Linked DNA regions of Macaca fascicularis. The protein of the gene in region 1 interacts with the protein of each later gene in a biochemical or structural test. Links are inferred from orthologs where the notes say so. Each region holds a gene or a part of one and is shown in the gene's direction. Other genes may lie near its edges.

Region 1 (5,248 bases):
CCAGGAACGCCTTTTTCCACTGCCTCATTCATTCATTCATCCCCTAGACACTGGGGATACAGCAGTGAATGAGATGGAAATCTGCTTGGTTGGGGTCTGCCTCTATCTGGCAGGTAGAGAGCCAGCAGATTTGCTGACAGATGATATACGGAGTGTGAGAGGAAAAGAGGAGTGAGGCGTCAAGTAGGCAAGAGATACACAGATCTGGAGTTCAAGGAGAGGCCCAGGTTGGAGAGGGAAGTCTGGGAGTTATCACCATAGAGATGCTATTTGGATCTATGAATCTGGATATGATTCCCAAGGGAGCAGTGTAGGTGGAGAAGAGAGCAGTCCAAAGTCTGAGCCCCAAGCTGAGCAACAGCCAGGAGCAGGGAGGTGAGGGGACCAGCAGAAGAGCCTGAGAAGGAGCAGCTGCTGAGGCAGGAGAACAGCCATGAGAAGAAAGCGTTTCCAGGGGGAGGGCACACGCAGCTCTGTCAAATGGCACTCGGGGGCGCACAGAAGGAGGCCTGGACTGCGAAGGCCAGACAGCCAGCTGGGTGGACTTAGTACCGATGTGCTGCTGCCCCTAATGAGGCCGGGTAGAAGGAATTGGAGTCTCTGAGCCAGGTCTCCAGGGTGGGAGGCCCAGACCCTGCCACACGCCCAGCCCAAGGCTCCCTGTGCCTGCAGTGCCGCTGTCGCCCTGGCTTCCGGCTGAAGGACGACGGCCGGACATGTGCCGATGTGGATGAGTGCAGCACCACCTTCCCCTGCAGCCAGCGCTGCATCAACACCCATGGCAGCTATAAGTGTCTGTGTGTGGAGGGCTACGCACCCCGCGGCGGCGACCCCCACAGCTGCAAGGCTGTGACTGGTGAGATTCACGCTTGGAGGGCATGAGGTGACCCAGGCAGCTGGGGGCTGTGTGGGACCGCCCGGGTGGCAGAGCTCCAGACAGGCAGGAGACCAGGGCCACTAGAATGTGCCAGGAGCTGAGGCAAGATCCTCTGTCTGCAGACGAGGAACCGTTTCTGATCTTTGCCAACCGGTACTACCTACGCAAGCTCAACCTGGATGGGTCCAACTACACGTTACTTAAGCAGGTACCAAACCCAGGCCTTCCTCCCCTTTGCCCATCTCCCAGACCCAGCACAGCCTCCCTTGCAAGTCTCCCCACTTAGGTCCAACCATCCCTCCCCCAGATGTAAATGTGGCCCCTGCTGCCACAACAGACTTCTGCTCTCCCTCATTCCCCTAATCCAGGGCCTGAACAATGCCGTTGCCTTGGACTTTGACTACCGAGAGCAAATGATCTACTGGACAGATGTGACGACCCAGGGCAGCATGATCCGAAGGATGCACCTTAATGGGAGCAACGTGCAGGTAAGGCAGGCGGCCCTCAGCGACCGACACTGGCCCACCCTAGATGGCTGTTTTCAGATCGTCTCTCCTTCCCGTCCCACCAACCCAAATTGCTTCCTTCTCACTCCACTAGTCACTGTATGACTGCTTGTTCTGGCTGCTTACTCTCCTCTGGGCCCAGACAGCAAGGACCAGGAGATTCCTCTTGCTCTTCCCCTCACTGCTAGCCCCACGTCTCCCTAATTATCAGGAAGTTCCCCCTGAGGTCTGGCCAAGCACTGTGAGGCTTGGAGTGTGGTCCCATTCCCCACCTAGAGCCCCCTCTCCTAGAGGCTCTGCTGACACGTACATAGTGTCAGGCCCAGGACTGGGCATTTTACTTCCATGGTTCTCCCACCAGAGCTGGCAGAGGGAGCTCTACCCCATTTTATGCATGGGGAGGCTGAGCTTCACAGAGGCTTGCAGGTCTTCCCCCAGGTCACCCAGAGCTCTCCCTCCCCTGCCCCTTCCTGCAGGTCCTACACCGTACAGGCCTCAGCAACCCCGACGGGCTGGCTGTGGACTGGGTGGGTGGCAACCTGTACTGGTGCGACAAAGGCCGGGACACCATTGAGGTGTCCAAGCTCAATGGGGCCTATCGGACGGTGCTGGTCAGCTCTGGCCTCCGCGAGCCCAGGGCTCTGGTGGTGGATGTGCAGAATGGGTATGTGGCTGAGGAGGGGTGGGGAAGCCCTTGAAAGCAGCATCCAAGCCCAGCCTCCCTGCAGGCCACTGGTGGGATGGGTTATGGGATCTCCCAGGGCTCACTGCCTACCCATCGCCAGGTACCTGTACTGGACAGACTGGGGTGACCACTCACTGATTGGCCGCATCGGCATGGATGGGTCCAGTCGCAGCGTCATTGTGGACACCAAGATCACATGGCCCAACGGCCTGACGCTGGACTATGTCACTGAGCGCATCTACTGGGCTGACGCCCGCGAGGACTACATTGAGTTTGCCAGCCTGGATGGCTCCAATCGCCACGTTGGTCAGTGTGCCAGTGAGGCTGTCCGGGCACAGCAGACTCGGTGGGGATGGAAGTCTGAAGCGACAGGGGATCAAGTTTTGGGGGCAAGAGTGGACATAAAAAGCAGAGGACAGGGCCTCAGGACACCACTCGCTGGGGTGTGAGGTTCAGAGCACCCCAGGGGCTTCCCCAGCCTGGCCACCACCCAGGGAGAGGCCCTTCCCTTATATACACAGTTCTGGAGGACTGGCCCCGAGGAGGGTGGGGGTGGGAGGCCTGCGATTGGGAGCTGCAGTGCTCCCCACTTCCCAAGGGAAACCATACGCTGGCGGGGCAGGAACTTGCCATGAGGCAGTCTAGGTTTGAACTCCAGCTCTGACACTTGTTAACTGTGAGACCATGGGGGGCCCCTGAACCATCTGGAACTGGGGCTGACACCCACCTCGCAGGGTGGTGGTGGGGCTTGAGGAGGTGGAGTGGGCTGGCACCCTGTCCGAGCTCAGGCTGACTGGCACCGTGCCTGCCCCTCGGCCCCACAGTGCTGAGCCAGGACATCCCGCACATCTTTGCACTGACCCTGTTTGAGGACTACGTCTACTGGACCGACTGGGAAACAAAGTCCATCAACCGAGCCCACAAGACCACGGGCACCAACAAAACGCTCCTCATCAGCACGCTGCACCGGCCCATGGACCTGCACGTCTTCCACGCCCTGCGCCAGCCGGACGGTGAGCAGGCAAGGGGTGGGAGCAGGTGAAGGGTGAGCTGGGAACTGGGGTCCCTGGGAGTTCCTGCTTATCCCTTCTCCAGCACTGACCAAGCCCTCTCCTGGCCAGACACTGGGAGACTCCAGGAGGGTCTAGACAGGGGATGGTTTGGCTCCCGGGAGCTTCAGCCAAGCCTGGATCCAGTCCTGGAATCTGGCAGCAGCAAGGCCCTGAGGCCAATCAAGTGGGGGGTCTGGGTGCCGGGCCCCCAGAAGGACCCTGGGGGGGAAGCACAGAGGAGGTGGGAGCTGGCCTTCAGGCCTGGCCTGATCCGGGGACCCTGAGAGAATCCTCTCCTGTCTCTGGCTTCAGCTCCCTCCTAAAAGAGGCAGAGTTTAGGCCACTCACCTCTGTCCAGGATGGAGTGATAGAGGCAGCCTTTGGTAAGGCAGGAAATGTCACCACATTTCACGACGTTTTCTCTGGCAGTGCCCAATCACCCCTGCAAGGTCAACAATGGTGGCTGCAGCAACCTGTGCCTGCTGTCCCCCGGGGGAGGGCACAAATGTGCCTGCCCCACCAACTTCTACCTGGGCAGCGATGGGCGCACCTGTGTGTCCAACTGCACAGCGAGCCAGGTGAGGCTGTCCCCCAGATCCCATCACCAGTGCCCACTCCCTGACCCCCAATCCTCCTTGGACCCCAACACCTGCTCTGTCCTAATGCCCTCACACATCTGGTTTTCCCACGCTAACACCCCCACATTTCTTGCCTACCTCTTGTCTCCCCACAGCAATACTTTTACCCCCGTCACCTCACACAGATACCTCCACACCCTAACCTTGACCCTCCTCGCCATGCTCCAGTGCTGCCTTCCCCACCCTACCCCACACAGCGCCACACCTGGCCTTTCTGCACTCACCATAGCCCAACCTGCCCCAGAACACCCTGACCCCTGCCTCAACTTCTTTGAAACATCCAACCCCCTCAAAAGAAGGACTTCTGAGTCTCCCAGATCCCCACCAACCCCTCTTGCCCCCGCCTGCCCTCCAGTTTGTGTGCAAGAACGACAAGTGCATCCCCTTCTGGTGGAAGTGTGACACCGAGGACGACTGCGGGGACCACTCAGATGAGCCCCCGGACTGCCGTGAGTGCCTGCTGGGGGTGACACAAGGGTCCCCAGCTGTGTCAGAGGCGGCCTGACTCCTGAGGCTTTGAATGGCCACTGGAGGCTGTGGCTGCAAGTGGACCTGGCCGTGTCCACCCCAGCCACTCTGACCCTGAGCCTCCCTCTCTGGCAGCCGAGTTCAAGTGCCGGCCCGGACAGTTCCAGTGCTCCACAGGCATCTGCACAAACCCTGCCTTCATCTGCGATGGAGACAATGACTGCCAGGACAACAGTGACGAGGCCAACTGTGGTAAAGCACTGCCTGGCCGCCCTCCCTCCTTCCCCAGCATCTTCCCCGCCCCAGGATTTGGGGCTCTCAAGGACAGGGAAGCTGCAGCCCATGGCAGCTTGCTCTCTAGGCTGGATTCCTGCGGCTCAAGCCTTTGTCCTCCCTGCTGAGGGATGGGCACCCTCTCCCTGCCCCTGAATCCTCCCTTCGCCACGAGTCACTCCGTCCTCCCCCCACAGACATCCACGTCTGCTTGCCCAGTCAGTTCAAATGTACCAACACCAACCGCTGTATTCCCGGCATCTTCCGCTGCAACGGGCAGGACAACTGCGGAGACGGGGAGGACGAGAGGGACTGCCGTGAGTGCCAGAGGTGGTGGTGGGGCAGCGGTGGGAGATGACATGGAAGCAGGGCAGGCAGAATCCCCCCCACAGCTTTGAGAGGCTCTCAAATAGCTTTAGTAGATGGGCAACACAAATTATATTGGGTGTAACTTGCTTTGCTCATAAAAATCACCACGCGTGATATAGAGACATAGAGATCCAGAAAACAAAAAGCACCAAAACTGGGGGTAAACTGTTCCTTCCTCCCAAGAAGTTGCTGGCAGGACCAAGGCCAGGGCTTGGAAGAGGGAGAAGGTGGTGATGGTGAATTGGAGTGGCAGGTGTAAGGGAGGGCCCTCATTCTCTTGCCCGCCCCGCAGCCGAGGTGACCTGCGCTCCCAACCAGTTCCAGTGCTCCATTACCAAACGGTGCATCCCCCGGGTCTGGGTCTGCGACCGGGACAATGA
Region 2 (6,036 bases), on another chromosome or scaffold:
TCAAGTGTGCCTGGCCTGTTTGGAGCATTTCATCCAGAGTCCGGCCGCCCTGACCTTCCCCCGGCCGCCTGCAGGGGGCGCCAGAGGGCCGGAGCACGGAAAGCAGCGGAGCCGCACCACTGCCTGGCTTGACGCTGCATTGAGTCCGGCTCAGAGGGGCGCAGCGTGGCCCGGGATCGCGGTCTCCCCATCCGGAACATCTTCCCTGCTGGGGGACACCTCGGGCCTTCTGTCGTCCGAGGGTAGGGTCTCAAGGTCACTCGCCCCAGCTTGACCTGGCCGGAGTGGCTATAGAAGACTTTGTCCCTGCAAACTGCAGCAGCAGAGATGACACACTCTGAGTGCAGACATGGGGGGGCAGGGAGCTGGGAGAAGGTTCAAGCTACTGGAACAGCTTCAGAACAACTAGGGTACTAGGAACTGCTGTGTCGGGAAGAAGGGGCTCAAGGACTTGCAGGCATGAGAGGAGGGGCCTAGGCCAGACTAGGCTCCTTGTGCAGCCATGGGGGTTGGGTCACCTATGTCTGAGGATGTGGTGCTGTCTGGATTTTGCCAACCTAGGGCTGGTGTCAGCTGACACCCAACACCACCAGCACCACTCCCGAGCCTCCGGGAACTGAAACCCTGTCTACCCCCAGGGTCTAGGGAGGGAGGCTGCTGAGTAGAGCTGACCCCAAGTTACCCACAGAAGCTACCTCAGCCACCCCCTGCCAGCCAAAGCAAACAGGCCCGGCCTGGCACTGGGGGTTCCTTACCGGGACCAGGAGTCCAGCCTCCCCTGACTCGCAGAATCCTCTGATCCCACCCACTCCAGTTCTCGATGTGTGACTTTGCCATTCATCTCGCTGCTGAACCGCGGGTTTCTCCTCTGAAACATCTGGGATTTATAACAGGGCTGTTAGGAAAGGGACAGCATCTGAGCGCTCACTGCGGCCTGTCCATTGCTAGCCCTAACAGGACCACTGTGCCAAGGCTGTCCTCCGTGCTCCATACACGTTAGCTTGTCACCAAACATATCCGTGTCACTGCTTTCCCAGTCTGATGAGCAAAGGAACCCGATGCTCAGAGAGGACAAGTCATTTGCCCAAGGTCACACAGCTGGCAACTGGCAGAGTCAGGATTCAAGCCCTGGCAGTTTGACTCCAGAATCCTAACCTTAACCCAGAAGCACAGCTTCAAGACCCTGGAAACCACAATGCCTGTGGCAGCCAGGGGGAGGTGCTGGAATCTCATTTTACACGTGGGGAGGGGTGGGTCCCCTGTGCTCAAGGTCACAACCAAAGAGGAAGCTATGATTAAAACCCAGGTCCCACTCGCAAAGCCTAGACTTTTAGCAGATGCACCACACTGTTCCCACCCCCCTCCCATCCCACTTCTGTCCAGTCGCCTAGCCCCACTTTCTTTTCTTTTTTCTTTTTCTTTTTTTGTTTTTCTTTTTAGAAAGCATCACTCTTGCTCAGGCTGGAGTGCAGTGGCGAGACTTCGGCTCACTGTAACTTCCACCTCCTGGGTTCAAGTGATTCTCCTGCCTCAGCCTCCCAAGTAGCTAGGATTACATGCGCCCGCCACCACGCCTGGCTAATTTTTGTATTTTTAGTAGTGATGGGGTTTCACCATGTTGGCCAGGCTGGTCTCAAACTCCTGACCTTAAGTGTTCCGCCCACCGTGGCCTCCCAAAGTGCTGGGATTACAGGCGTGAGCTACCGCGCCCAGCCCCTCCCATCCCACTTCTGTCCAGCCCCCTATCCCTACTTTCTTTCTGGGATCTAGGAGTCCAGATCCCCAGCCCCCTCTCCAGATTGCATTCATCCAGGCACAGGAAAGGACAGGGTCAGGGAAGGAGGACTCTGGGCGGCAGCCTGCACATTCCCCTTCCACGCTTGGCCCCCAGAATGGAGGAGGGTGTCTGGATTACTGGGCGAGGTGTCCTCACTTCCTGGGGACTGTGGGGGGTGGTCAAAAGGCCTCTATGCCCCACCTCCTCCCTCTGCCCTGCTGTGCCTGGGGCAGGGGGAGAACAGCCCACCTCGTGACTGGGGGCTGGCCCAGCCCGCCCTATCCCTGGAGGAGGGGGCGGGACAGGGGGAGCCCTATAATTGGACAAGTCTGGGATCCTTGAGTCCTACTCAGCCCCAGCGGAGGTGAAGGACGTCCTTCCCCAGGAGCCGGTGAGAAGCGCAGTCGGGGGCACGGGGATGAGCTCAGGCGCCTCTAGAAAGATGTAGCTGGGACCTCGGGAAGCCCTGGCCTCCAGGTAGTCTCAGGAGAGCTACTCGAGGTCGGGCTTGGGGATAGGAGGAGCGGGGGTGAGGCCAGCAGCAGGGGACTGGACCTGGTAAGGGCTGGGCAGCAGAGACGACCCGACCCGCTAGAAGGTGGGGTGGGCAGAGCATGTGGACTAGGAGCTAAGCCACAGCAGGACCCCCACGAGTTGTCACTGTCATTTATCGAGCACCTACTGGGTGTCCCCAGTGTCCTCAGATCTCCATAACAGGGAAGCCAGGGGCAGCGACACGGTAGCTAGCCGTCGATTGGAGAACTTTAAAATGAGGACTGAATTAGCTCATAAATGGAAAACGGCGCTTAAATGTGAGGTTAGAGCTTAGAATGTGAAGGGAGAATGAGGAATGCGAGACTGGGACTGAGATGGAACCGGCGGTGGGGAGGGGGAGGGGGTGTGGAATTTGAACCCCGGGAGAGAAAGATGGAATTTTGACTATGGAGGCCGACCTGGGGATGGGGAAATAAGAGAAGACCAGGAGGGAGTTAAATAGGGAATGGGTTGGGGGCGGCTTGGTAACTGTTTGTGCTAGGATTAGGCTGTTGCAGATAATGGAACTAGGCTTGGAAGGCTAACCTGGGGTGGGGCCGGGTTGGGGTCGGGCTGGGAGTGGGAGGAGTCCTCACTGGCGGTTGATTGACTGTTTCTCCCTCCCCAGACTGGCCAATCACAGGCAGGAAGATGAAGGTTCTGTGGGCTGCGTTGCTGGTCACATTCCTGGCAGGTATGGGGGCGGGGCTTGCTCGGTTTCCCTGCTCCTCCCCCTCTCATCCTCACCTCAACCTCCTGGCCCCATTCAGGCAGACCTCGGGCCCCCTCTTCTTCTGCTGGTCTGTCTTCCCCTTGAGGGGAAAGCCCAGGTCTGAGGCTTCTATGCTGCTTTCTGGCTCAGAACAGCGATTTGACGCTCTGTGAGCCTCGGTTTCCTGCCCCCGCTTTTTTTTTTTTTTTTTTTTGAGCCAGAGTCTCACTCTGTCGCCCCGGCTGGAGTGCAGTGGCACAATCTCAGCTCACTGCAAGCTCCGCCTCCCGGGTTCACGCTATTCTCCCGCCTCAGCCTCCCGAGTAGCTGGGACTACAGGCGCCCGCCACCATGCCCGGCTAATTTTTTGTACTTTGAGTAGAGAAGGGGTTTCACTGTATTATCCAGGATGGTCTCTATCTCCTGACCTCGTGATCTGCCCGCCTTGGCCTCCCAAAGTGCTGGAATTACAGGCGTGAGCCACCGCGCCCGGCCTCCCCATCCTTAATATAGGAGTTAGAAGTTTTTGTTTGTTTTTGTTTTGTTTTGAGATGAAGTCCCTCTGTCGCCCAGGCTGGAGTGCGGTGGCTCCCAGGCTGGAGTTCAGTGGCAGGATCTCAGCTCACTGCAAGCTCCCCCTCCCAGGTTCATGCCATTCTCCTGCCTCAGCCTCCGGAGTAGCTGGGACTACAGGAACATGCCACCACACCTGACTAACTTTTTTTGTATTTTTAGTAGAGACGGGGTTTCACCATGTTGGCCAGGCTGGTCTGGAACTCCTGACCTCAGGTGATCTGCCTGCTTCAACCTCCCAAAGTGCTGGGATTACAGGCGTGGGCCACCGCGCCCAGCTGGGAGTTAAGAGGCTTCTAATGCATTGCTTTAGAATACCAGACACGGGACAGCTGTGATCTTTATTCTCCATCACCCCACACAGCCCTGCCTGGGACACACAAGGACACTCAATACATGCTTTTCCGCTAGGCACGGTGGCTCACCCCTGTAATCCCAGCATTTTGGGAGGCCAAGGTGGGAGGATCACTTGAGCCCAGGAGTTCAACACCAGACTCGGCAACATAGTGAGACTCTGTCTCTACTAAAAATACAAAAATTAGCCAGGCCTGGTGCCACACACCTGTGGTCCCAGCTACTCAGGAGGCTGAGGCAGGAGGATTGCTTGAGCCCAGAAGGTCAAGGTTGCAGTGAACCACGTTCAGGCCACTGCAATCCAGCCTGGGTGACAGAGCAAGACCCTGTCTGTAAATAAATAACGCTTTTCAAGTGATTAAACAGACTCCCCCCTCACCCTGCCCACCATGGCTCCAAAGCAGCATTTGTGGAGCACCTTCTGTGTGCCCCTAGGTACTAGGTGCCTGGACGGGGTCAGAAGGAACCTGAACCACCTTCAACTTGTTCCACACAGGATGCCAGGCCAAGGTGGAGCAACCGGTGGAGCCAGAGACGGAACCCGAGCTTCGCCAGCAGGCTGAGGGGCAGAGCGGCCAGCCCTGGGAGCTGGCACTGGGTCGCTTTTGGGATTACCTGCGCTGGGTGCAGACACTGTCTGAGCAGGTGCAGGAGGAGCTGCTCAGCCCCCAGGTCACCCAGGAACTGACGTGAGTGTCCCCATCCCGGCCCTTGACCCTTCTGGTGGGCGGCTATACCTCCCCAGGTCCAGGTTTCATTCTGCCCCTGCCACTAAGTCTTGGGAGTCCTGGGTCTCTGCTGGTTCTAGCTTCCTCTTCCCATTTCTGACTCCTGGCTTTAGCTCTCTGGAATTCTCTCTCTCAGTTCTGTTTCTCCCTCTTCCCTTCTGACTCAGCCTCTCACACTCGTCCTGGCTCTGTCTCTGTCCTTCACTAGCTCTTTTATATAGAGACAGAGAGATGGGGTCTCACTGTGTTGCCCAGGCTGGTCTTGAACTTCTGGGCTCAAGCGATCCTCCCACCTCGCCTCCCAAAGTGCTGGGAATAGAGACATGAGCCACCTTGCCCGGCCTCCTAGCTCTTTCTTCGTCTCTGCCTCTGCTCTCTGCGTCTGTCTTTGTCTCCTCTCTGCCTCTGTCCCCTTCCTTCTCTCTTGGTTCACTGCCCTTCTGTCTCTCCCTGTTCTCCTTAGGAGACTCTCCTCTCTTCCTTCTCGGGTCTCTCTGGCTGATCCCCATCTCACCCACACCTATCCCAGCCCTTCTCGCCTCCCCCTGTGCGCACACCCTCCTGCTCTTTCGGCTGCAGGACGCTGATGGACGAGACCATGAAGGAGTTGAAGGCCTACAAATCGGAACTGGAGGAACAGCTGAGCCCGGTGGCGGAGGAGACGCGGGCACGGCTGTCCAAGGAGCTGCAGGCGGCGCAGGCCCGGCTGGGTGCCGACATGGAGGACGTGCGCAGCCGCCTGGTGCAGTACCGCAGCGAGGTGCAGGCCATGCTGGGCCAGAGTACCGAGGAGCTGCGGGCGCGCCTCGCCTCCCACCTGCGCAAGCTGCGCAAGCGGCTCCTCCGCGATGCTGATGACCTGCAGAAGCGCCTGGCAGTGTATCAGGCCGGGGCCCGCGAGGGCGCCGAGCGCGGGGTCAGCGCCATCCGCGAGCGCCTGGGACCCCTGGTGGAGCAGGGCCGCGTGCGGGCCGCCACTGTGGGCTCCCTGGCCAGCCAGCCGCTTCAGGAGCGGGCCCAGGCCTTGGGTGAGCGGCTTCGCGCACGGATGGAGGAGATGGGCAGCCGGACCCGCGACCGCCTGGACGAGGTGAAGGAGCAGGTGGCGGAGGTGCGCGCCAAGCTGGAGGAACAGGCCCAGCAGATAAGCCTGCAGGCCGAGGCCTTCCAGGCCCGCCTCAAGAGCTGGTTCGAGCCCCTGGTGGAAGATATGCAGCGCCAGTGGGCTGGGCTGGTGGAGAAGGTGCAGGCTGCCGTGGGCGCCAGCACCGCCCCTGTGCCCAGCGACAATCACTGAACGCCCAGGCCTACAGCCATGCGACCCGACTCCACCCCATGCCTCCTCTCTCCGCTCAGCC
Region 3 (5,755 bases), on another chromosome or scaffold:
GCTTCAAGCGATCCTTCACCTTGACCTCCCAAAGTGCTGGGATTACAGGTGTGAGCCACACCGTGCCCAGCTCAGAACTATAATAAGTTGAGAAAGTGGTATATAGAGAGAGACCACAGTCACATAACTTTTATTATAGTACCTTGATATGATTGTTCTATTTTACTATTGGTTGTTGTTGTTAGTCTGTTGCCACGCCTAATTTATACATTAACCATGTTTTTTTGTTTGTTTTTTTTTTTTTTAATTTTTTTTTGAGACACGGTGTTCCTCTGTCGCCCAGGCTGGAGTGCAATGGCACGATCTCGGCTCACTTCAGTCTTCGCCTCTTGGATTCAAGTTATTCTCATGCCTCAGTCTTCTGAGTAGCTGGGACTACAGGTACACGCCACCACACCTGGCTAAGTTTTTTATTTTTAGTAGAGACAGGGTTTTACCATGTTGCCCAGGCTGATCTCGAACTCCTGACCTCAAGTGATCCACTTGCCTCGGCCTCCCAAAGTGCTGGGATTACAGGCATGAGCCACCGCGCCCGGCCACATTAACCTTGATCCTAAGTATGGATGTATAGGGAAGAGCATTTTATATATAGTGCTTGGTACTACTCATGGATTCAGGCATCCATTGGGATCTTGGAACACATCCTTGTGGTTAAGGGGGACAGCTGTGTGTGATGGCCCTCCCAGCTCCCTGCCTCCTGCTCCTGGAGTCTCCACAGCTCCTCAGCGCTACTCCTCCCTATCTTTCAGCCCTTTGCCCTCTGTCAGCCTAGACTCAATGACCCATCGTGAACCATTGCCACCGTGCCCATTGACATGCTGGAAACTCTTTCCTTCTTATTCTAAACCCAAGTCCCTGTCAACACTCTCTACTGGGGAAGCACACTTACTGCTTTGGTTTCTAATATGATTTCAGAGCAATTACCTTGCAAACCTTCAGCAACAACCTCTCCTGTGCTGTTAACCCTTTGAGGGAGTGTGCATTTTTTAAAAGTTGGCATTGGGCACAGTGGCTCAAGCCTGTATCCCAGCACTTTGGGAGGTCAAGGCGGGTGGATCACCTAAGGTCAGGAGTTCAAGACCAGCATGGCCAATATGGTGAAACCCCATATCTACTAAAAACACAAAAATTAGCCGGGCATGGTAGTGGGCTACACAGGAGGGTGAGGCGGGAGAATCGTTTGAACTCGGGAGGCGGAGGTTGCAGTGAGCCGAGATCACATCATTGCACTCCAGCCAGGGTGACAGAGCAAGACTCTGTCTCAAAAAAAAAAAAAACAAGTTGGCATCAATGTGTTTTTCCATCTGATTTATGTCTTCACATTATAGCATACTTTCTGCATGAGCCCACACATATCAGATGGTAACTTTGGAATGGGTGGGTCTGTGCCATTGTCCCGGCACAGCTGTGAGAGTGGTGACAGGCAGGTCAGCAGGTGCGTGCAGAGGGCCTTTCTTCTACATTGGAGTTCAGGTCGGATGATTCGGGTCCATAGTGCTCATTCAGGGCTCTGTGTTCTGGTGGCTTCTGTTGATTTCTAATAAAAGCTGCAGACTGAGCCAGTCCTGCACACACAGGGAGATAGGACAACGGACATTTGGAATGTGATTAAGCCCATCAATCCAATCGGTGACTAAAATCAGACAGGAAGCTGTGTGCCCCTAGATAAAGACAGGCTGGGGGGAAAATGATCTCAAGTTCATTTCGATTGGCGCAAACTCCTCACAGAGGAAAAAATGTACAGTTAGAATGAAGCAAAAGAACAGCTCTATAAAATATGTGTCACTTCCCGTGGCGAGGAGGAGAGAGAAGATACGGAAAGCTGCACCAAAGCTGTATTCACTGGACAAAAATGCTTGACTCAGGAAGGAGGCCGGGGCGGCGAGTCCTGTGATGCCATGGCGGGAGGTGGGTCCCACGTAAACAGTGGTGTTCCTGTCACCCCGAGCACATGCAGTCTCCCGTGGGTGACCAGAACTGATGCAAGAGCCTCTGCTGCGGAAGTCATCATGCTCTCCTGGAACGCGCCTGCCCCCAGGTCTGAGTGATCTCATTACTGAGGTGAGTAGGGCTTTGGCCACTCTCCCAAAGGAGCCCACCCCAGACGCAGCCATGGCCTGGGACTCTGGAGTCACCCTGGGGTCAGAAGGAATTGAGTTATCCATATTCACTTGGTTTTGGTTATTTTCAGTGTTATTTGTTTGTTTATTTATTTATTTTTTAGTTTTAGAGACAGGCTTTCACTCTGTCTCCCAGGCTGGAGTGCAGTGATGCGATCACAGCTCACTGCAACCTCAACATTTCAGGCTCAAGGGATCCTTTCACCTCAGCCTCCTAAGTAGCTGGAACTACAGGCATGTGCCACCACACCTAATTTTTGAATTATTTGTAGAGATGGGGTCTCGCCATGTTGCCCAAGCTGGTCTCAAACTTCTAGGCTCAAGGAATCCTCCCACCTTGGCCTCCCAAAGTGCTGGGATTACAGGAGTGAGCCACCTCGCCTGACCTGGTGTTGTTATTTTAAAACAAGAAAAGAAATGACCAGAAAGGCTGAAAGGAAACAAGCACCATCCTCCATAGGAGGCTGCAAAGGTTGGTGGCACCAGGTCCAGAAGAAGAAGGACCCATAGAGCAGAAACCAAAACTCCAGCACCAGCCGGGTGGCATTTGGAAGTGCCTCAGCACAGCCACTTTGCAGAGTTTGCACGTTTAAAATAGGGAGTAGGCTGGGCACAGTTGTTCATGCCTGTAATCTCAGCACTTTAGGAGGCTGAGGCAGGCAGATAACTTGAGTTCAGGAGTTCGAGACCAGCCTGGCCGACATGGTGAAACCCTGTCTCTATCAAAAAAAAAAAAAAAAAAAAATAGCCAGGCATGGCTAAGTAGTGCCTGTAATCCCAGCTACTCAGGAGGCTGAGGTGAGAGAATCACTTGAACCGGGGAGGTGGAGGTTGCAGTGAGCCAAGATCATGCCACTACACTTCAGCCTGGGCAACAGAGTGAGACCCTGTCTCAAAATTAATTAAGTTAAATAAAGAGTAGCTCAATTTTACCAAACAGATTGACCATAGACACCCTTAAAATTATAAGACTGTGATAAAATTCCTATATTCATTAGCTATGATATACTTGGATATGTAAATAAGCAGATGGCAGTGAATGTTCTCACAGACCAAATATTTCTGCAAATAAAATTAAATTCTTATGTATAATATGCATACATAAATATAGATATGATTTTATAATATCAGAAATGATAATATTTTTCATTTGCAAGTACTTTCTTTTTTTTAATTTTTAGAGTTTGGGGTCTTGCTCTGTTGCCCAGGCTGTACTGCAGTGGCATGATCATAGCTCACTGCAGCCCTGGGATCCTGGGCTAAAGTGGTCTGCCTGTCTCAGCCTCCTGAATGGCTTCTTCTTCTTCTTTTTTTTTTTTTTTGAGACGGAGTTTCGCTCTTGTTGCCCAGCCTGGAGTGCAATGGCACGATCTCAGCTCACAGTAACCTCCACCTCCCAGATTCAAGCCCTGAATGACTTTTAAAAAATATTTTCTCAGAGTCAGGGTCTTGCTCTGTTGCCCAGACTGGTCTCAAACTTCTGGACTCAAGCGAACCCTCCTGTCTTGGCCTCCCAAAGTGCTTGGATTATAGATGTTAACCACTGCATCTTGTCAATATTTTTTGAATTAATAGACATTCCTTAGAGCAGTTTCAGGTTTACAGAAAAATTGAACAGGAAGCACAGAGTTCCCCTATTATTATCCCTTCTCTTCCCTCCGCAGTTTCCCCTGTTATTATCTTCTACTTAGTGCAGTGATATTGTTTTTTGTTTAAACTACTATTGTTTTTCAGTTTTTAGACAGTCAAAACAAAGTTGTAGACCTATCATTATCTTGTATGGGAATTTAAAAAATGTATTTTACTCGGCTAATGTATTAGTCCGTTCTCATGCTGCTGTAAAGAAATACCCGAGACTGGGTAATTTATAAAGAAAAGAGGTTTAATGGACTCAGTTCCCCATGGCTGGCAGACCATCAGGAAACTTACAATCATGGAGGAAGGCACCTCTTCACAGGGCGGCAGAAGAGAGAATGAGCACAAGCAGGGGAAATGCCAGACAATAATAAGACCACTAGAACTCGTGAGACTCACTCATTATCACTAGAACAGCTTGAGGAAAACCGCCCCCATGATCCAATTACCTCCACCTGGTCCTGCCCTTGACACGTAGGGATTATGGGGATTACAGTTAAAGGTGAGATTTGGGTGGGGACACAGAGCCAAACCATATCAGCTAAATAGTCAAAAAAATTACTGCTCTGAGAGAATTCTCCAATTCTTAACTTTGTAGCCTTGGTTCTTTTTCGTGTGTGAGACCTATGTTGCTCAGGAGACAGTTGGAGAAAATTTTAGTCAGGGGCTCTTTAAAGTTCCTTTCTTCATCTTTGAGAAAAGAGTATGAGGCTTTCCCTTGCAAAGTTCTTTCCTTCTGAGGATGGATATAGCTAAAGAACAAAGCTACAAAAAATGTTTATAAAACAGTTTACTAAGTCACCAATAGCATGTCCCAAAGCGTTTTCCTTCCCATGGTATCCTATTTGAGTCAAATAATAATCCTGTGAGTTTACTTCTCTTATCTGAAACGCAAGGAACCTATAGCTTAGCAAAGGCAAATGGACTTGCCCAGAGTCGCACAACTGACCTCAGAGGAGAGAAAGGAAACTTTTTGACTTCCAGGCGCAGGCTCATTCCAGTAGCCTGCATATTCACCAGCTCGGGGCAGGGTTTGGCGGGGGGGGGGGGGGGGTGTTTATTTGAAGATTGATAGCTGGGGATGTGGGATGTGTTAGGAGGCTCAAAAGAGGTAGATTTAGGAGCAGAGAAAGTTCTGTGTTGAAGAATCAGCAAACCAACCTAAGAAACTCAACTCACTCCACAAAAGAATTGATTGAAAATGAGATGTGTTCAAAAATAATTTGAATAAACTCATGGATACTCCATCATAAGGAATAAGGAAAATTCCTATTCTTCTGACATGCTTCCATGAACAACCAGGCCCTTCCAGGGCCAGAAAGAGAGTGTTGGGCTGGTCACCCAGTGTGGAGCCAGTACGTCTACTTTTATGAAAGCCATTTAGAAGCATCACTAAAGGAACTGAAAAACAATTCACCAATAATGACAGTACTCCAACATCTAATTTTCTCTTCTAATCTCTATCCATACATCTATGTAGTGTTTACATTATTATTATTTTTTGAGATGGAGTCTCACTTTTGTTGCACAATCTTGGCTCACTGCAACCTCCACCTCCCAGGTTCAAGTGATTCTCTTGCCTCAGCTTCCCGAGTAGCTGGGATTACAGGTGCCCGCCACCAAGACTGGCTAATTTTTGTATTTTTAGTAGAAATGGGGTTTCACCACGTTGGCCAGGCTTGTCTCAAACTCCTGACCTCAAGTGATCTGCCTGCCTCAGCCTCCCAAAGGGCTGGTATTATGGGCATGACACACAATGCCTGACCTACATTATTTATATCACAGCTCATGTACAAATTTATTTTCTTCTTCTTTTGGGCAGGGCAATTTTATGACTGATTTTGATATGTCGGTATAATTATGTTACCAGTCATCCCAATGGTTACACAATATTGCACTATTCTAACATGTCCTAGTCTACTAGGCCCCTATTTTTTGACATATAAGTTATTTTCAGTTTTTAGATAGTCAAAACAATGTTGAATACCTATCATTATCTT
Region 4 (5,935 bases), on another chromosome or scaffold:
AAAGGACTGTCTGTTTTCCTTTCTTGCCATCTCTGGCTCTACACATCCCCCAACAGCTCTGTTTTCCTTTCTATTTTTATACCTTGAGTGGTTTATATGATGATGTCCTGCATGCTTCAAACTAGATGAGGGTGGCAGACAGAAAAAAATCGAAAGGACCTAAACAAAATGAAAATCGTTCCTGCTCGAAATGTTTCCTGCTTGAGAAAAAGACAGATGTGTTCAGGGGCTGGCATTACAAATGCAAGCATCCCAGATGCTGAGAGAAGCTCTTCGTGGATTCAACAAACAGGCAACCCCTGCCTGATCCTGGACAGGACAGAAGGGTTGTAGGAGCACTCCAGAGGCTCCTTGAAAACCTGAAAGTAGAGAAATGTTGAACATGAAATTAATGGTCATTTAGCCCCTTAGGTGCTTTCCTTGTCACATTTCATCCTCACAATAATTTTATGAGAATATATATGTTATTATTTATATTTTCCAGTTAAGGAAAAGGATACTCAGAGAGTGGTAGGAGAAACTCATACCCAGGCTTCCAGGGTAGCTGTGCAGTGGCCTTTTTCCTAGTGGAACTACAGGCAGAGGGGAAGTTGTTGTGGTTGTGGAGGTCAGGGACTTGAAAGGGACTTTTATTCAGCACTGTGGGACACTCTGATTGGATCCTCTCCTTCCACTCATGCCCCCTTCAGTACATTCTCTGCACAGCAGCTGGAGTGAGCTTTTACAAATAAAAATCACACTGTCTCCAATCCTGTAACTGTGACATCTCTATTTAACCCCCAAAACTCCAAACTTGGCATCAAATCAATTTCCCTTACTGATCTTTCCCCATAAGACCAGCTTCCCTCTGCACCTAATCTCATGTCACCAACTCATCACTCTTGCTACATTCTAGCCACACTTCCTTCCTCCTGCTATTCAAACACATTCAACCTGTTCCTTCTTCAGGGCCTTGGCACTTGTTCTCACTATTTCTAATGACTGGTTCCTTATCATACAGACCTCAGATCAGTGGTCATGTGCTTAGAGGGCTGTTTCCCAAACGCCCAGCCTGATGTCCTACCCCAGTCATTTTCTATCACATGTCGTCATCTACTTAAATTTTGGTCAATAGTGATAATTACTATCCAATAGCTTCTTGCTGATTTACTTGTTTATTTTCCGCCTTACTAGAGAGCAGGTTACAAGAGAATAAAAATTACTTGTCTGTGTTCTTTTGAATGTTCTGCCCGTCTCCATAAAGTAGAGGTTGGCTCATAGTAAGCACACAAAAATATTTATTGATGAGTGAATTGTTACTGATATATAATTACCTCAAGAAGGGCAGACCTGCGTCAGATGAAGGAAGAAAAACTCATGTTTTGCTATCACTTACCATGTGTCAAGCTCTGTGCTTGTCTCATGTGATTATCACAATTCTATGAGACATATGGTTCCCATTTTGTAGATGAAGAAATGGAAGCTCAATCATTTGGTCGTTTGATAAGACCACACAGATACAACCGAAACCCTGGTCTGTCTGCTTCAGTGCCCACACACTTGATTGTGGGGTGTGCATAACATGTCTCAGGGGTTTATGTACCTGCAGGAGAGTGTGTGTCTGCTGCTGCAAAATCTTGCACCTGTGAACACCGCAAGAAGGAGGAGGCTGTGTAAAAGCACATGCAGGCCAAGACCCTAGAGGCAGCTCAGAGAGGGCTCTCCCTAGTAAATCACTTTTGCTTAACCCGAAGCCCATACTTCCCAGGGGAGCAGACACTGAGCACCGCAAACGGTGAAGACTGCAGAATGGCTGCAAGTTGTAGACCTCACTGTGACCGTAGCAGAGAAGGGAGTCTGCGAGTGGGTGCTGAGGTCCTTCCCACTCAGAGCTCACATTCAGGCCAGGTCGGTCAGGCCGCGCCACCTCTTCGGGCAACAGCATTCCGCGCTAGGTAGCGAAATGCTGAGGGGCTCCCCTATTCGGGGGAATGCGGTAGTGATGTATAAGGTATGAAAGATGTGGCCTGCAGAGAGCCGGCACTATCTCTACTGCTGCTGCTGCTGCTTCTGCTGTTGCTGCCGCTGCCTCTGCTGCCACCACCACTACTGCTGCCAGCGGAGCTGCTGGGAGTGAGCATCCCCTCTCCGGGATACCCAGCTCCGCGGCATCTCCCGCGCGCCCTGGCCCCACACGGACCTGCCAGCCCCAGGGAACAAAAGCGGAGCCCGCTCGTCCTCTACTGCAGCCGGAGGATGAGTCGAGAGGGCTGAGCGGAGAGTGTGGTCCTCGGCGGCTGGAGGTAGGAAAAGATGTTGCGCCCGCCGCGGCGTGGGAGGCTCGAGGTGGGCGCGCCGGGGTAGGGGCGGCCGCGGGGGCCCATCCGTCCAGTGGGCGCTGCCCGCACCCGGCGAGGTGGTGGTCTGCAACGCTGCGCCCGCACTGCCCACTGTGGGTTGGGCGCCGCGGTCTCGCGGCCGCGAGAGAGCCTCCTGGGTGGGAACTGGAGGCAGCAGGGGAAAAGTCTGGAGCCAGAAGCCAGGCAACGGCTGCCGCGGCGGCTGCGGAGGGCTGCCCGCGGCGCTTGGCGGCGCGCGTCTCACCGCGCAGAGTGGGCAGGCGGCGGCTGCAGTGTGCGCAAAGTTTTGGGTGGCGCGCAAAGGCGCAGGCGAGGGCTGCCGCACCGAGCCGGCCAAGTTGTGGCCGGAGCGCCAGGGCGACCCTCGGGCTTCCCCCACCACGCGGAATCGCCCGAGCCAAGCGGCTCTTGCTCCCTGACACCCCAGCTGAGGCCGAGTTGACGCGCAGCCATTTAACCCTTTCTGTTCCGAGGAAACAACTTCATCCGCGTCGACGACTGGACTCGGGCTAGCTGGGTAGCCTTGAGGTTCCCGGCAGGTTCAGTCCTTCTGTGATCTTGCGCATTTCCTCGCTCAGTCCGCGTTTTCATTTCTTTTTTGTCCACTTCTGTATCTAGAAACCAGGCAAGCTGGCCAGGGGTCTTACCCAAAGTCTGTAATTTTAACCCTCGCGCCATCTGGACGCATGCTTTCTTTCTGCCCTCTCAGCTTGGCTCTTTGATGCTGCTTTGAAAAATAAGATGATTAATCAATTAGGTTAGTGGCCAATTAGGCATAACCTTGTAGGAAAATAATTATGCCCGGCTCTCTGGGCTTTCACTGATGATGAGGTGGGAATCCAGCCCAGGTGGAGGGGCTGTTCCGAAAAGATAGGGCTGATCAGGGAATTTCTGAGAATTTAAGATTAAAAAGATCCAACTATGTGGTGGTGGCTGAGGTTGTGGGGGTGCAGTAGGAGTTTGTGTGTGTGTGTACCAATTTTTGCCGATAAAATTAACCCTTGGCAGCACAGTATGGGTGGACTTTGCAGGCAGCCTGTTTCGAACAGCTCAGAAAAGGTGTGTCCCCTTGCTTTCCAAGCCCCCTCCTCTCCTCTCTTTCAGAGGGGCTCTTGCCTGTAAATCGCCTTGCTGTGTTTTTGCTTCCGCTTTGGGAGGCTGAGTTCCAATGAATGCATTTTAGTTTCGTGTCCGAGGAATCGCGTCGTTGCAGACCGAGGTTCCTTACTGTGCCTTCCGAGGATGCACATTTCCCGTGATCATGTTAAATACAGCGGTTATTAAATGGGTGCAAAAGAAAGACAATCTGTTTCCAGGCCTGGGAAGTTCTGCTGCAGAGCGGGGCTTCCTTTTGCTTTTGGAATGACTGGTGGGGTTTGGCACTGCAGTATTACAATACAGCCATATTAAAAAGGTCTTCAGAGCTTGGAGCCCTCTACCACTGCAGCCCCATCTTCCACACACTTCCCTGCCCAAATCCTTCGTGCAGGGAACATGTAGTGAATTTCGTACCTGCACCATGTGCATTTGAACCTCTTTCTGTCTCTATTTTAAGCTGCTTCTATCTCTTTATACATTCGGATGCTAGATAGTAGATTTCTGTTAAGATTCTGTTCAAAATCTAGAGGTGTTCCCAGGGCAGAGGGATTTTTGCAACAGGTCCTAGGTCTGGGTTTTCTAATAATAGATCTCCCTGGCATTTAGTGACATGGGGCCCCAGTCTCTCCACCAGTGACCTGACAAGGGTTGGACCAAGGGATCTCTGAAATCCCCTGCAGTGCTGACATTAGCTGGTTCTGAATTTTATGGCTTTTTCTTTTTCTCAGCTGAGCGGAAGGAGTAGCTGGAGCAGTACACGCAATGTGACAGCAACAGTGCCACCTCGCTCCTAGTGGAAAGGAATGGGGGCTGGCCAGGGCTTATTGGCAAATAGGGATTTCCCAGCTGGAAGACTGCCTGGTGATACTGGTGTGCAGGGACAACTGGGAGCCACAGGATTCACCCGCCTCCCTCAAAATGAATGGCCACCATTCAGCACTCTCTCTTTGACAAGATTTTTCTTTTCTTGAATCTGGACTCAGCTAGTTGCCTTACAGTGACCACATTTGTGGATCAGATTCTTGTGCAAGCAAAAGCCTTGCTCCTTTTTAAAAATGGAATCTTTTGTACATACCGGGAAGGGATGCAGAGTGAGAATAGAGGGAGAGAAGAAAGAAGAGAGGGGAAGAGGCAAAGGAAGGAGTGAGTGGGGGGCAGAGCTAAGAGATATAGAGAGACAGAGATAGCTTAAGTCTTCAAATGCAACCAGACAGTGGGAAAGAGGAAGCAGAGACAGAGAACTAGGTTGGGGGTTGGGGGTTGGGGAGGTTGGTGGTGAGGAGAAGAAGGGAGAGATGCAGGAAGGGAAAGAAAAGCAGCGAGGGAAATACTAGCCCTAAGAGGGAGCGATTAGAGCCCACATGAAGCAAGACCAGTCTTACCATCTAGCTTAGAAAAAATGTAAAGGAAAATCTCAAACTGCACAGGACACATTCCAGGTAGACTTGCAGCCTGGAACTTAGCTTTGACATAATAAGGCAATTATTTATGAAATACACATTGTACCACAGAAAGTCATGAACTCGTTTTCTCCATTCATCCATGACTGGAGACTCCAGTTGCTGGTGTGGTGTTGGTGCTGGGAGGGGAGCTGTTTGCCTAGCAGACGTGCTTTGTATAACCTGGAGAGTGTGCTCTTGCTTGGATCAAGTTGGGTACTCCATTTGGACAGACTGGGTTTCTCAACAACTTTGGAGGAGGTGTTTTTTGTTGTTGTTGTTTTGAGACCTGTCTTCCATCGAATGGACAACTTTTACAATCATGTATCATTTATTTATTTATTTAACCTGGGCGGGGGGGAATGAAAAATGAATAGTAAACACCCTTACATGCCACCCAGAACTAGCAGTGATGACAAAATGATTTCAATTAATTTTCTCCTCTCCAGCCTCCTTGCCCCTGTTCTGGCCCATCCTCAGAGCCTCCCAGCTCATCTCCTGGCCTTCAGTATGGGCCCTTCCACAGATGTGACACATCTTTCTAGAACATGGCTTTGATCATGTTACTCCCAGGTCAAAAACATAAAGTGCTCCCTATTGCCCAAGGCATACTGTTCAAATTCCTGACTCTGGACTTCAAGACCTTTCACTATCTAGCAGTCTTACTCCCTCCTCATGTTCTTGTGACACACAACACACACACATGCTCACACCATACACCCACACTACCCTCACACCCACACACCTACACATGCACATACACACACACCTTCTCACACAGAATCACACACACCCTCACATACATGCATACACATTACATTCACACCACTCACACACAGTTTCACACATTCATAAATACAAACAGCCCGCACATACACACAGCATCGCACACAGCCTTCTATACATATACACAGCATTAGACATGCCTTCACACACATATACACAGCATTATACTTACATCACTCACTACCATACTCACACATGCACACCTACCCACACACAACATCACATGCAGCCTCAAACACACTCATGTTTATGCACTTACACACTCATGCCACA

The links.
Region 2: the proteins of LRP1 (region 1) and APOE form a complex in vitro, tested with the Homo sapiens proteins (2 studies listed by IntAct, with this or other methods). The link is inferred for Macaca fascicularis from reciprocal best matches to the Homo sapiens genes LRP1 and APOE.
Region 3: the proteins of LRP1 (region 1) and PLAT form a complex in vitro, tested with the Homo sapiens proteins (2 studies listed by BioGRID). The link is inferred for Macaca fascicularis from reciprocal best matches to the Homo sapiens genes LRP1 and PLAT.
Region 4: the proteins of LRP1 (region 1) and DAB1 form a complex in vitro, tested with the Homo sapiens proteins (2 studies listed by BioGRID). The link is inferred for Macaca fascicularis from reciprocal best matches to the Homo sapiens genes LRP1 and DAB1.

The regions. Positions count from the first base shown.
Region 1 is NC_088385.1:63,998,626-64,003,873, forward strand, and holds part of LRP1 (prolow-density lipoprotein receptor-related protein 1), read left to right. Parts: intron 1-672; coding exon 673-856; intron 857-999; coding exon 1,000-1,085; intron 1,086-1,245; coding exon 1,246-1,365; intron 1,366-1,859; coding exon 1,860-2,047; intron 2,048-2,168; coding exon 2,169-2,374; intron 2,375-2,892; coding exon 2,893-3,081; intron 3,082-3,549; coding exon 3,550-3,698; intron 3,699-4,113; coding exon 4,114-4,207; intron 4,208-4,361; coding exon 4,362-4,478; intron 4,479-4,696; coding exon 4,697-4,816; intron 4,817-5,160; coding exon 5,161-5,248. UniProt on the Homo sapiens protein: Endocytic receptor involved in endocytosis and in phagocytosis of apoptotic cells. Required for early embryonic development. Involved in cellular lipid homeostasis.
Region 2 is NC_088393.1:52,937,375-52,943,410, forward strand, and holds the start of APOE (apolipoprotein E), read left to right. Parts: upstream 1-2,122; 5' UTR 2,123-2,168; intron 2,169-2,939; 5' UTR 2,940-2,962; coding exon 2,963-3,005; intron 3,006-4,446; coding exon 4,447-4,639; intron 4,640-5,257; coding exon 5,258-5,975; 3' UTR 5,976-6,036. UniProt on the Homo sapiens protein: APOE is an apolipoprotein, a protein associating with lipid particles, that mainly functions in lipoprotein-mediated lipid transport between organs via the plasma and interstitial fluids.
Region 3 is NC_088382.1:45,723,276-45,729,030, reverse strand, and holds the start of PLAT (tissue-type plasminogen activator), read left to right. Parts: upstream 1-1,841; 5' UTR 1,842-2,061; intron 2,062-5,755. UniProt on the Homo sapiens protein: Converts the abundant, but inactive, zymogen plasminogen to plasmin by hydrolyzing a single Arg-Val bond in plasminogen.
Region 4 is NC_088375.1:176,440,474-176,446,408, forward strand, and holds the start of DAB1 (disabled homolog 1), read left to right. Parts: upstream 1-2,021; 5' UTR 2,022-2,282; intron 2,283-5,935. UniProt on the Homo sapiens protein: Signaling adapter of the reelin-mediated signaling pathway, which regulates the migration and differentiation of postmitotic neurons during brain development.